2 linked regions of the Astyanax mexicanus genome follow. The protein of the gene in region 1 purifies or fractionates together with the protein of each later gene. This does not show direct contact. Links are inferred from orthologs where the notes say so. Each region holds a gene or a part of one and is shown in the gene's direction. Other genes may lie near its edges.

Region 1 (7,714 bases):
CAGAATGTTTTGTTAATGTTAACCCATGTTAACCACTTAAACTGTTCATAAATAAGCTATATTATTCTGAATGCAGATTAATAAAACTCACAGAGTTTCATGTTGGAATGTAGAGAACATTTAACTTTGAGAGTAAAGTAGTTAATGTAGGGTAAAAATTAAACTGTGGGCCTATGTACAGGTTTAAGGGGTTAAAGGTTTAAACTCTTAAACGGATGAATCATTTAAGACTATATACTGTCAGTATTTCTGTATTTAACTGTACATTAACCTTAAAATTGATTAAACTTAAAACTAATATTACAGTACATTACATTTGTACATCATTTATCTCATTTATCATTATGCCATTTATTATTTACAAGGTGTGTCACGGTATATATTTAGTTTTCAGCAGAGATTAAGGGGTTAAAATGATTCCAAGATGACTGCATAAAGAATGTGTAAAATGTGTGTGTGTGTGTGTGTGTGCATATGTGTGTGTGTGTGTGCATATGTGTGTGTGTGTGTGTGTGTGTGTGTGTGTGTGTGTGTGTGTGAGAGATGGAGAGGGTGTGTGCACGTGTGTGACAGAACGAGAGAGAAAGAAGGAGAGAAAACACTCTGAGGATGTTCTCAGAGACAGGAAATAACTTTCCCCCCTCCCTCTTTCTCTCTCTCTCACACACACTCTCTCTCTCTCTCTAACTCTCTCTCTCTCTCTCACACACACACACACACACACTCTCTCTCTCTCTCTCTCTCTCTCTCTCTCTCGCGCTTGCTCTTTTCCTACCACCTGTGTGTACTCTGCTCCATCCCTGCTGCAGATGTGAGATTTTCTGGGACTTTCTCATGGACTTCCTTTTCTCTACTGGTTGGGAGAAGCCAAAGGGAGCAGGCACTGTGAGAGAGCACACACACACAGAGACATATATATATATATATATATATATATATATATATATATATATATATATTATATGTCTTATAAAACACACTTCCGGATGAACGCATACATCCACTTACTGTCCTTACTGCTGTTTTCAGTCTCTTTTCTCTTTAATAAATGAATAAATAAATTAATGAATGAATGTGAAACTATGTTGGAGCGACGTGAACAAATTTAGATTTACGAATAAAGATTTATCTCCAATGCCTGATCTGATAACATCAGATATTTATCTCCTGTGCCTTTTTTTAAAGAGATTATTCATTGGACGTGCTGCCTTAGGCACGGCACATTTACAAATACTAACTAGCAAAATAATGTAATAACAGTGCTATATTTAGGGCTACATGATATTGATAATGAAAAAAAATAATAATTATCTGTTGTTTTTAATTATGTATTGTGATATATTTCATATCTAAATAAATACAGGAGTTTGCACCAAATACACCAATGATTCAGCAGGTTGTGATATTAATAATTCCTTATACGTACTGAAGACTGAAAAAATGTACTGAAAAAAAAAATGAGCCAATATATTCAGCTCCAGGTAAACAGGTCAATATAAATTTTTGTGTTTTGGGATTGATTAAATTTGCGTTACATTCGCACATATGCAAGTCCTGCAATGTGAATACTGCACATGCAAACATTGTTATAATAATGATGATGATGATAATGATAATAACATTAAAATGATATACTATGCAACCCTAGCTGGAATAAGCTGTATATGTCTGTATGCCTTTATTGTGCTTCATTTCAGTCAGTTCAAAGACTATATTAAGAACAGAACAGAAGGGCGAGAAGACCGAGAAGACGACGACAGTCTACAAACGGGAATGTGAGGCGTTTACATTTGACAGACGAGACGTTTTTCCTCCGCTTGCTCTCAACCCTGCGTTTACAGTAGTTAAGCATGTTTAAGCATTCCTGAATACTTGATATTAAAGCTATTTTTAATATATTTTAGCTGTAAAAGTCTGTTTGATTAATGTCTGTCTATTGAGAATGCTGACTAGAGAACGTATTCTCGTTAAGGTGCCAAAAAAAAAAAAAACAACCATATTATGTAATTAACAAAGCTTTGTGTCTTAAAAATGGCAGTATTACAAAAAATACTTTTAATAAAAGTCATTTTGCTAGTCATTTTGCAGCATTTGTATTGGTTCACTCATCATGAAATATTGACACAATTTAATTTTGTGTTAAAAAAGGGGAGAAACTGTAAAAATGAGTATACAACCATAAATATGATTACATATATGTTTGCAGGCATTCTATAAATGTATACATAAAGCATGCTATTTCTGATCATAATGTGTATATAATGTGTCATATATAAATGTCAGCCAAATTAAGTCTGTATTATGCGACTCATCATACAAATAATAAAATAATATTACAGATGTGATTGCAAAATAATTATGATTTATTTATTTATTTAAACCTGATTAATCTGTTATCTGCTATTACTCGTTCGCCTGAATGGCAGCACTGTGCCAGACATTCGTAAAGGTGTCATGAAGAGATCAGGTCAAGCCGCAAAAAAAACCAATGAAAGTACACACATATATATATATACTCACAGGCACACACACACACACACACACAGCTTTCAGAGGGAGGGTGCTAAGGGGTGTCCTGTTTCCTCTCTTAAACCAGGAGGAGCTGCTGAGGTTGGGAGGTTGGAGGCTGTGTGCAGTGAGATCGGGGCAGCGATCAGCCTGACAGCGAGAAAACAGAGCAAAAAAGAGAGAAAAAGCAAAAAAAGAAAAGAAAAAGAAGAAAAATGTTTAAAACTCATATAAGCCTGAGATTTCTCATTTCACATTATATATTGTTATATAATGCAGCACCTCTCTATATGTGGTTAGTCAGTGTGATATGCATGTAATCCAGTACTTACAGTAAGTGTAGCTGCTTTCTGGGGATCCTCCAGAGCGGAGGTCTCTGCTGCTCTACCGGGACTGTGAAGCCTGAGGGGTAAAATAGTCAAACCCATCAGACTTATTTGATAGAAAAGACAGAAAACACAATAAAACTTGTCTACAAATTTGTTGAAAGTAGTAGAGCAGATTACACAGTGCCAGTAGGCTATATTTAATTAACATAATTAACAAGTATAATTTTTGTGTGCATACAACAGCAAAGAGCATATATAACAAATGTACTTAAAACAACATCAAAATGACTATGAATAATAAACAAAACAAAACAAACAGAAAAATATATATATATATATAATTATAATTATAAATTGTGAAGATTAAGTAAAAATATTTTTAAGCAAAATTAGGATAAATATTTTAGTGATAATAATAATAATAATAATAATAATAATAATAATAATAATAATAATAATAATAATAATAATACCTGTGAATTTCCTGCCTCAGTCCCGTTGACTGGAGCTCCCCCTCCCGCATCTGCCGCCTCCTCAGCTCCAGATGTTGAGGATGTTAAGGCACCTTTCCCGCCTGCGCCCCGGTCTGATTGGCTTTGAACAAAAGCATCAACTGATCCTGCAGCCCCGAAACCCCCCACCCCCAAAATAACCCCACCAAAACAAGCCCCCCACCCCCGCATCAGCCCCTAAATCTCCCCCTCACCCCCCGGATTGATGATTTAATTATCCCTCCGGTAGATGAGGACGGAGGGAGCGCTGCTTTATTTACCCCACCAATCCCATCCCCTCAGAAAAGGTGGGGCTTCCCAGTCTTCCGTCGGATTCTAGCGGACTACGAAATAAATAAATAAACAAATAAACAAAAAAAATAAACACATTTTAGAAACAGTCATAACCGGTTCATAACCACGCCCAGCACGGGCGCGTGCCCATTTTTTTCTTTTTTCACATTAGCTTAAAAATTCCCGTGTACATGTTCCTTTATGTGCTAAAACGGTTTAAAATAGATTAAAAATATTCTATCACCCCAAACAGAACAGTATTACTTTACTTCCAGCTTAAAAATAACCGGGTTTTTTTTGTTAAATCCATGTCGGATTTTGTTTTACCTGTTTCTTCTTACCTGTCACCTGGCCACCTTCCCTTTAAGAGCGGCGCGCGTGGCGCGAGCCCGAGTTGTGGCGGGAAATCCGCGCCGCTTCTGAGGCGACGACGGGTGAGGAAAGTCTGTGAGGGAGAACTCGGCAGCACAACGAGGCTTAAAACCGAATTAAAACACAAACCCCACCGAAAAAGACGACTTCTTTCCCTCTTTTTCTCGTGCCGGGGAAAACTCTGACTCGTCTCAGTCTAAAACCTCGTCCTTTCTGGTGTTTAAATCTTTTGTTATTAAAATATAGCTACATTTGTTTTGTGAAGATGTTCCTCTCCGTCTTCACGTTAGCTTAGCTTTACTTAGCGTATTTATTTGGAAAGGTAAAGCGAACAGGTCGGGGTTTGGTTTCTTTTGCCTGCCGCGCTGTAAAAAAACCGAACGGGGAAACGGGAAGGGGGAAAAGGAGGAAAAAAGAAAGCGAAGGAAAAGTTCTCACGGTTCCCAGAAGATGCTCACGTTTGGTCCTCCTCAATTATCCCTCCCCGTGAAGATAGGTGGCGCGTGTTTCAGCCTCTTCTCGCTCTCCCCCATTCTCTCTCTCTCACTCTCTCTATCTCTCTGTGTTACAGCAAAGAAAAGGAGAGAGAGAGAGAGCGAGAGAGAGAGAGAAGAAAAAAATGTCATTAGAGGAGGCGTAACACGTCAGTCCGTCCGCAGGTTGGTTTCCTGGAGTGGCTGAAAGGGATCAGTCCCAACCTGCGCGCCAGGAATAACGCTGCTCCAGCTACAGCCCGGGCTTTTTACCCTTTTTGCCACATTTTACCCCACGGATCCGCTTTCTTCCCCCTCTTCCAAAAAAAGCCCCGCCACGGCTGCTCTACAAACCCCCCTTTTTTCTTTCCTTTTTTTATATTCCTTGCAACCAGCTCGACTAAGACAAACGTAAACAACAAGGTAAGACTTGTTTCCTTCTCTCTTTAAAGATGTGCAATTTATAGGCTTCAAGACTTGGAATATGTATTTAGAAATAAAGTGAATATTTATATTTATAGATGTAGTTCAAAGTGGAAGATGAGAGTGGGAGTGCGCTGGAGAGATGCGCTCACCTTTAAGTTCACCTGTACAGGTGAACTTGAAAAAAAAGTGTGCTTGTCGTTTTTGTAATTATTCAATGGACGATTTATTAAGATCAGGATTTATTTATATGAACAACATCTGAATTCTTAAAAAATCAATTTTGTACATTTTTCCCATTATTGTGACTTTAACAAATTCAGTGCTGTATATGGATATTAATATTTTTTAAAGTTACTTCTCCCTTTGTTGTATGTCAAGCTATGAGGATGACAGATAAAACAAAAATAGATATTAATTGGTATATTTTCACAAATATGATGGGACAGTGAGTGGTGAAATCTAACGGTGCCTCGCGCCGTATGTTATCTTTGTACACTTAGTCTAAATCGCTTTTCCCTGCTCTGCCGTCCTATTACAAGACAAACTCCTGCAGCAGCACAATGTTTTAATGATTTTACTAAAATAGGACATTAGAATGAGGATGATGAAAAAAGTTTTAATTGTTTAAAATTAAAGTAGTCAGCAACTATTTATTTTGCTTTTAAGTGTTTGTACTTTTCAAAAAAACAAACACACAAAACAAACATTATAACACCCAAGCAAACAAATGGTTTATATTTTAGTGAACTAAAAAATAATAAAACATTATTAACAATAATGATTATAAGGTATAGCAAAATACGTGAAAATTGTACTAGCAATACTATCACTACTACTACCACTAGTACCACTAATACAGTTTTGTAGTAGTAATAATTGTAATAGACAACAACAAATTTAATTCATTAAAGTTTTTAATCGTTTTTTTTTTCTTAGCCAATTTTTTCCTTTACATTACAAAATACTTAATACTTTCCCAATGGTGTCTACATTACAGTTCACAGTTAACAGTAAACTGGTAACACCACAATTTCAGCACCAAATGTTATGTATATTTAAAGTCCATTTTCCACAAACAAGTCTAAGCGTGTAAATAATATCCCACACAAATTTTCAGCGTTAAGATCTCTCCTGTTTACCGGTCCTATGTGTGAATACACTTGTTTACTTGTTTTATCTCCTTTTATTTTGTGTGCAACAGTTTGATATATGTATAAATAAGCTCATCACCAGTCCCGGCTCTGAAAGCAAACTGAGACAGCAGTCTCCCTATAGTATTTAATACTATTTAATTCATGCCTACATTTAATTTAATACAGTTATTCCTACAGCCGTGCATGTCCCATTGAAGCAGTGGACCCCGCCACCACCCACCACCGGCGGTGTGTAGCTCCTAGCCCCCCGCAGCCCCTCACTCACTCACCCGCCCACGGTTTGGGGCACTTTCGTCTCCAACGTTCCGTTTTATTTTCTACGTTATTTCCAAGCGCTGATGCGGATGGTCCAAAATTTGCGCCTGTACGTACCTGCGCGTGTGTGCGCGCGCTTTTGCGCTAAAGAGAGCAGCGCCTGCATTGTTGTTCTGTGTGTGTTTGGTTTTGCCAGAGACTGAGGCTGCGCGCTGCTGACTGACTGACTGAAGGAGTCGCGTCCATGCGAGCTGCTGCCATCTGATCCAGACACACACATCCACACACACACACATCCACACACTCACACACACACTCCCCATCAATGAGGCAGCATATCATGGCGGATGGGCCCCGGTGTAAGCGGCGAAAACAAGCCAACCCGAGGAGGAAAAACGGTAAGCTGAATTTATTAAATAGTAGCTTAATAACACTGATAGTGGGCTGAAGAGCGGTGGTCGTGGTGGGACTGTGAGTGTCTCTGTGAGAGAAACAAGGAGTGAGAGAGTGAGAGCGAGAAAAGGAGAGAGAAGAGAGAGAGAGTGTGTGTTGATGGTCGGAGGGTGGGGGGTAAAGCTCCGGCTGACGGGACGCGCATGGACGCGCATCGCGTGATACCGTTATTTTGTTATTACCGCTGTGCATCTCCTCATTGTGGGGTTAAACGAATCGGTTTCAAAGGGAAAGCGAAGCAAAACCAGTGTTGTCCACCACTGGCAGAGCTTCTTTTGTGTAGATCTGATTTATTTTGAGGCGTGCTTTCAGCTCGCGCTGTTGGAAGTTGGAGCGAGTGGAGTGGAGGAAAAGTTTTGCAGCACGCGGCTCGTTTGCTTCACGCTACAGAATAAAAAAGCGCTTTTAAAGTTGCGTGTCAGTTTACGCTGTTGTAAGGCGCTCTAACGATGGCACTGGCGTCAATAGCGATTTGTATGATAATACGGCTGGCAGCACGCTCTCTTGTTTGTGGGAGGAATTATTTTAATAATAATAATAATTATTATTATTATTATCATCTGATACATCTAATAGCATCAGCGGTCGTTTTCGTTCATTTCATTTCGTTTCTGGCAATTATAAATTAAATTGGATATAGCTAGATAAAGCTCATGGAGTTGATAGTTATAGGAAAACACTTTTCTTTATAAATTGTACTTTTGTGTATAATGCTTTTTATGTTGCACACTTTTATTCCGTCGCTTTTCTCTTGTTATTATTCTAAGTGACATTTGAGCTATGGTGTGTTTTATCGTTTTTAAAAGAGTGTGTGCCTTCAGTATTGTGGTAGTTAAATCCTGCAATAAAGCCGCCTCACACTTTAATTTGTTGAGGGCAATGTGTAGCTAAAACCCGCTGTGTACAACTATGTACAACTGGCTTTAATAAAATTCTATATCGCTCCCAGTGTCCAGTGT
Region 2 (7,256 bases), on another chromosome or scaffold:
TTTATATTCATAAAATGTAGTATGGTGGTAAACTTATATGTACTGTATATATGCTTTTAAAATGTACCTGCATTCTCCTCCCTCTAATAAATAATGACAGCAGGTCTCTGGTGACTGTATTATACACATGCAGTATTAATGCTTTATAAAATGTGCCTCAGGCTTGTCTGCAGGGAGTTTATTACCCAGTTGAGTCGTGTTAGAGCAGCTGAAGTCATACGTACGTACTGCATGTATTGTAATAGGGTGCTTTTCTGATGTTTTTAATGTGCAGGTGTGTGGCTGGAGGGTTCGGATGGGACCGATATCAACGCTCTGTGTCGCTCTCACAGCGAGCGAATAGTGGCAGTGGCAGATGACTTCTGCAAAGTCCACTTATTCCAGTATCCATGTCCTAAACCAAAGGTCAGTATAATGTTTACAGTATAATTTCTTTGGTATCACAAATGGAACTAAAAGTATTGGGCCCCTGTTTTTTGTGACTTAAAAATAGTTTCTCTTGCTTTCTACTAGATTTTGTAGCTTTTATGTAAGAATTTTCTTGCATTCAGTTATAAAGCGTTAGTGAGTTCAAGGAGGTGGATGATCATCACGTGCCCCCCCATGTTAATCTGCTCCAGAGCCTTAATCTATTGGTGACACTGCTCTACAGGAACTAGAGCACTGTAGAGCAGTATCTCCAATAGATAGGGCTAGAGGTGAAGTTAAGGATGGGGGGCATGTGTTGATCATCATTTGTCAGCAATGGAAGCAATGTACATGAATTCATTCTTTAAAAGGGGTGTCCACATGTGGACATGTGATTTTATCAAATAAGCTGGATTTACTTTCAGTTTACAACAGTTTACTGTGAGTTTGCATTAAATACTAAGTATACAATATTTCTTACTTATGAACACAAAAGTGATATTATTTTTAAAAATTCAGGTTTCCCATACATATACAGTATCATTCAAAAGTTTAAACACACCTTAGATTCATTCTCTAAATATTTTATGCATTATAAGTCCTACAAACTACAACTATAAGAAAAATATGTGGAATTATTGAGTAAACAAAAAGTGTTGAACAAACCAGAATATGTTTTATATTTTAGATTCTTTAGAGTAGGCACCTCTTGCTTAGATGACAGCTTTGCACATCTTGGCTGGATTTTCTCAGTCAGCTTTATGAGGTAGAGTCACCCAGAATGGCTTTAAGTTAATAGCTTTTCTGAACTAAAAAGTTCATTACTTATACTCTTAATGTGTTTGAGAACAGTTGTGTTGTGAGGAGGTAGAGTTGGTATACAATAAATAGCCATATTTGAGTAATGTTCTAGATACTTTACAGTCAATCTGAAAAATATTAAGAACTTTTAAAATAAGTATTCACTCAAGAAAAGGAAGACAAAAAGTTACCTCTGTTGCACAGATGAGTTGATCAGAGTTACCAGCCTCAGAAACTGCAAGGTACCAATACCTCAGATAAGAGTCACCTAAATGCTTCACAGAGTACAGTATTCCTTGTGTGTTCCTTCATAGTCTGGATATTTTCATGGAACATTTGACTGGTAGTGTAGTTTAGTCGTGTGGCTGTGTGAAATGTTTTCTTCTGAGACGATTCCTTCCCTTCTTTTTTTTAGGCACCAAGTCACAGGTATGAGGGCCATGGCAGTCATGTGACCAACGTACGCTTCACCCACTGCGACAGTCACCTTCTGTCACTGGGTGGGAAGGACACATGCATCCTCCAGTGGCGAGTCAAGAGGAGCGGGGCTGCAGAAAAGGAACACCCAACCTCTTCACTTCCTCCACCCACTTCCCTTAACAGTTCCTCAGAACCTGGGAAACAGAAGGAGAAAGAGATGGGATGAAGAGAGTGACAAAGAATATGTTGAAGAATATGGTATTGCACAATCTAGAGTAAATCCAGCATTAGGAAGACTGTGCTGAGAGGATGCAATGTTTATGGTGGTCTTTAACAGATTTTCATGGCCAAAAAGGAAGTCAGTGTTGCATCAACATTCACTATATCAGGTTTACATGTTACTATATTACTCCAATTTTATAGACAACAGGACAAATGATGTGTGTGTCTGTGTGTGTGTCAAACAGCTTATGTTTATGTAAAGTAAACTGATCTTATACTTTGACTTTATTAACATTACGTTACGTTTATGTTGATAATTCTGGAATGTGAAAGGCTTGTACGTGCCTTTATAGACAATCATCTCAAGATGGTCATTCCAAAGCAAGTCTTTCATTTATCACCCTTTACTCGTTGCAGTACATGTTTACATTACTGACCTGTTGCTGATTTGTAGATGTGAACTGTTTCTTCAGTTTGTTCTCTGTGCGCTGTCTGGCTATGATTTAATAAATGTGTTTGTGTGTCATCACACTATTAAACCAAAACCATCTGAGTCTGCTGTATGTATTATATATTAACTGAAATATGACTGAATGATTTTGAGAACACTGTCCTTCCTTTTCTTAGATTATCTATTCTGTAATAGACAGTAACTGTATAGAAAAATTGAAGTTGAGAACTACAAATCACAAAAAGGATCAGGAGGCGTTCGAGCGCTGCGTGAATCACACAGCGCCTTCTAGAGGACCAAGGTGAAATTGTAACAGTGCATTGTGGGCCTGCAACCAAAAGGGGGCGGTAGGAGCACAGAGATCAATTTAACCAAATTTACTGTTCACTGATTTAATAACTAAATATACAGTCTGGGAAAAAATAGAGACCATTGCTATTTATAGGTAAAATTAACATGTTGTATTATTCTATAAACTACGGACAACATTTCTTCTAAATTCCAAATGAAAATTTTGTTATTTAGAGCATTTATTTGTAGAAAATGATAAATGGCTAAAATAACAAAAAAAGATGCAGAGCTTTCAGATCTCAAATAATGCAAAGAAAACAAGTTCATATTCATAAAGATTTAAGAGTTCAGAAATCAGTATTTTGTGGAATAACCCTGTTTTTAATTACAGTTTTTATGCATCTTGGCATGTTCTCCTCCACCAGTCTTAAACACTGCTTTTGGATAACTTTATGCCACTATTGGTGAAAATTTCAAGCAGTTCAGTTTGGTTTGATGGTTTGTAATCATCCATCTTCCTCTTGATTACATTCCAGATGTTTTCAATTTGGTGAAATATATTTATATTTCTTGTATAATAAAATGGGTTTTAATGAGTTAAAATTTTTGCGGCCACAGTGACCAAAAAGAAGCTGGATATAGGCATGGATGGAAGTACAGTGGAAGTCAGTTTTTTCTTGTTGTTCATTTCAGATACAAAATATTATCTACTAAATTTAGGCTTAATTTTTTAATTAATTTTTAATTCGTCAAATTGAAATTGTGACACAATGTATAGATTCCAAATTCAATAATACATTGTAACCAGTTACAGGTATTGTAGTAAATGAGGCTTGCAGCAGTTTCAAGCCTGAAACTTCTCCATACATATTTTTTTTAGATTGCAAACTTAGCAACATATGTAAATGTGCAACATATAATACACAATTCTTCAAATATATAAAGAGAAAAAAAATAATAGTGGAAAAATAAAAACAGTAAAAGGAAAAAGAGGGGACAAGGGGGTCAAATTTATAGGATACGAATGAGATTTTTTTGTTTGCAAAAAGACTATAGAAATGTGTGAGAGCTCCAACAGATAGGGGATTATTAATGTCTAATAAAAAATATTTGTAACATATATTAAAATAAATAAAAAATAAAACAAAATTGGAAAAGGCGGGGACGTGATTCACATCTATAGTAAATCATGAAATATTTATTTTAATCTGCTTTTTTCTTCTTTAAACTGCTTTTTTTACATTTAAGTTCTTTGTAGAAGTGAAGTGATACCTCACTCGCTAGTTCTATCAGACAGCAGGCTCTCCGGTGAAGCTCGAGACCGGGCCGAGCTCTAGGTGACGTTTCGCGCTTCCGAAGATGACGTTTAAGAAAAGGGGGGAGGAGGGGTGAGCCGAGCGGAGGTGAAGAAGAGGAGGATGAAGCTGGGAGAGCAGAGGATGGGAGGAAGAGTAGAGTGAGAGAGTGAGAGAGAGAGACAGGCTGGCTAGCTAGCCGATGACTGTAGGTGCATGCCCGCGAGGCTGAGCGCGTGAGTGGCCGGTGAGGGGTAGCGGAGCGGCTGTGTCGGTACCGGACCGGAGCGGAGGCGCGTTTTACATCCGCGGATTCTCACCGAGACGGAAAGTTTGAACTTTTCTCCCGCCGCCGCCGCTCGGGCTCACCGTGCCGGCTCCCCGGCTTTGTTCCGCCAGCGCCGAGTCCGCCGATACATGCGGGACTAAAGCCGCCGCCGCTCGGCTTCAGCGCGCGCAGGAGGAGGGGAATCCCGGGGCTCGAGTTCGTGGAGGGGAGCGAGAGAATGGCGGCCAACATGTACCGAGTAGGAGGTGAGCGTTTTAATCAGCGGTTCCGCCGCCGAAACGGGGATTGTTGTGCGAGCGGGTTAGCCAGCCTGCTAACGCTAGCCGCTGCGGCTAACGGGCTGATTAATAGTCTGCTAGTCGACTCGTTAGCCTAAATGCTAACTAGCGTGCTAGCGCCTTTTCTCATTTGGTGGCGTGTTTTTTTTTATTTCCGCCTTCTTTACAAAGGCCGGCTTAGTTAGCGTTAGCTTAGCTTAGCTTTAGCTTTTCATTTATTTTTGAATGTGTTGTTTCTCAGAGTTTCTGGGAAAGCTTTTACAACTAACTTTTATACGAGTCTTCTTTCCAAAACTACAGTTTACTTAACTGTTACTTACTCTGAGAAACGCCCTTAATACTGCGAATAAAAATACGATTTTATATTGTATTACTTTTGCTAAATCCAGTGTCCATAAACAGATGTTTTAGCTTATAATTCCCCCCATGCTGCACTGTTGGAGCTATCTCGCATCCTAAATGCACAGATGCAGTTTATTATTGTTATTAAGAAGATAAAAATAAATATTTCTGATTTATCTTTCTAGCTGTAGATATGATCCCCTTTTTCCTTTTGTTTTTATTTATTTTTGTATTCCATATTTTCCTTTTGCATTAAGTTAGATTTGTGTGAAGAATAACGTTTTGCACTTTGTAACTATGATTGCATATATTGCTAAGAAGAAAAGTTATTTAACTAGCTAAGTTTAGTTAGCAGGCGAGCTAACCTATAACTAGCTATCTGTTTTAAACGGTTTACCAGAGCGTTACTCCAATATAAGAGTAAAGAGGGAAAGAGTTTTAAAGAAAAAGGTTAATAAAGTATCTTAAGTTATTTAGTTAACGTTACCTAGCGTTAGTTATTGTTAGTTAGCTTAGCTAACTAGGTTCGTTTAGTTAACCGGCGCCCTGTGGTTGTTTAGGTATTAAAGCCTAACTTATAACAGTTATTTTCGCTTGGATACAGAACAGGAACTAGATAAGTATTTACTCGTTTTTTGAGTGAGAGTTAAATTGTAAAACACCAGTTTGCAGTCCAAGTAGGCGAGTAAACTGTAACTCTGAATGCTGAAGAGCTAGAAAACTCAACACACCGTCACCGATAGTAACAGCCCGACCACAGTACTACAGTAATGCCTCACAGAGAGAAAGAGAAAGAGCGCAATCGGTCCAGGACCCCACAGCTTCTCTCCTGTCAGGCTTTATTCTTGAGCACTTTATGAACATTATGACGAGCTGCTGAACTCTCTGGGAGCAGGATTTAGGACAGAACAGCTGCTCTTTTATCTGAGCTGTACTCTGTCTGACAGCTACAGTCACATCCAGCACGCTGCTGGCTACAACTGGGCGATACTGTGATTATTTTACTGGACCGTAATACATTTTTTTATTTTCTTGACCATATGCTTTAATAGGCATATCAAAGATTTATATCTTTAGTGCCTAAAACACTGACCAAACTGTACATTTTTATGATTACAGAAAATGGTTAAAGTGTGGATGCACGATAATATCGGTATTGTATCATATCAGTTGATATATATTTTTTTTTCTTTAAGAATAGTCAGCATTAAATGTGATATAGCCAGTACTTTTAACAAGTACCATTCATTCATTTTAGTCCTGGATAGATGGAGGTATTTGAGTGCATTATTAGCATCATGACATTCTGGGTGATTGACTTCTGTTTTAAATCTGATAAAAATTCTTGCATTATTTAATATGGTGCACCCCTAACTTCATATAATAATATCATATTGAATCAAATAATACAATAAAAATATATATTTTTTGCAGTAGTGTGTTCTTGAAAAAAAAAATTTAATTCAGTGGTTTGTCATTTCGCCAAGAGTATCGTTATCGTGATAAATTTTAGGACGATATCGCCCACCCCTAATTGGTACTGCTGCAACCCTTATCACAACGCAACACAAACTGATCTAGGAGTAGTCAGCATTTTACAGGTTATCAGGTTTCATCAAGGTTCTTTCCACTGCTGGGTTTTAACACGGTTTGACTTATTGTGTTTAAATGTGTAGATGGAGCTCTAAGAGCGACTGTAAATAGGTCAGTCAGAGTGATGATGAAGATGCTGCAATTCTGTTAACCACCGTAGACTCAATCCTGCTTCTCTTGATTTGGACCTTTATCCACACAGCTCCTGTCTGATTCTGTGGAGCACTTCAGTGAGAGCATTGTTGCTCAAATTGATGGTTATTTTACTGGTGTAACAGTTAAAAAAATAGAAGAAGAATGTTTTTGAGGGGAAATTATCTGTATGGCTGATGCGCAGTTCTCATGAGGGTCTCCCCTTTGGCGTCTATAGTGTGCACCACTGTCAGTGATCAAAGAGCCGGCGGAGTGTAAAGTGGGAAGGAAGAGGGTTTGTAAAATCACCATTTTTCACACACACGCTGCTTTGCTTTAAATTGTGTATGTTTGTGATCTGTTGTGTGGACTATTTAGAGATCTGTTTGTTCAAGGCTTTTTAACACACTTCAATAATCATATTTTTGCCTAAAAACCTGAACATGTTAGTTTTTTTTATACCTATATGGACCTAGTAACACTTCTGAATTTTGTGAACAGTATTTTAATGAATGGCTGTGCTACTGTCTGTCTGAGTGGTGTTGCATTTCTGTGAGCTCGAGTCGAGTGAATGAACCAACAGGCTGTTCATTCATGTTGAGCGAGCGACTGTGCTTGCTCTGAAGTGTGCCTCTACAGCTCAGTCAGTGTTTACTTGAATCCTGTTCTTTTTATTTTCTCTTTTTCTGTGGCGTTGCTTTTTCAGTAAATGTAAAATCGTCTTCCTCAGACTG

What was found. Proteins that work in one complex are often made in the same cells at the same time.
Region 2: the proteins of zeb2b (region 1) and mta2 purify together in Homo sapiens (affinity purification with western blotting; 3 studies listed by BioGRID and IntAct, with this or other methods). This does not show direct contact. The link is inferred for Astyanax mexicanus from reciprocal best matches to the Homo sapiens genes ZEB2 and MTA2.

The regions. Positions count from the first base shown.
Region 1 is NC_064412.1:34,804,864-34,812,577, forward strand, and holds the start of zeb2b (zinc finger E-box-binding homeobox 2b), read left to right. Parts: upstream 1-4,569; 5' UTR 4,570-4,890; intron 4,891-6,498; 5' UTR 6,499-6,627; coding exon 6,628-6,700; intron 6,701-7,714. UniProt on the Homo sapiens protein: Transcriptional inhibitor that binds to DNA sequence 5'-CACCT-3' in different promoters. Represses transcription of E-cadherin. Represses expression of MEOX2.
Region 2 is NC_064415.1:31,199,394-31,206,649, forward strand, and holds the start of mta2 (metastasis-associated protein MTA2), read left to right. Parts: upstream 1-3,981; 5' UTR 3,982-4,394; coding exon 4,395-4,422; intron 4,423-7,256. Other genes in the region: eml3 (echinoderm microtubule-associated protein-like 3), read left to right, coding at 275-405, 1,625-1,855. UniProt on the Homo sapiens protein: May function as a transcriptional coregulator. Acts as a component of the histone deacetylase NuRD complex which participates in the remodeling of chromatin.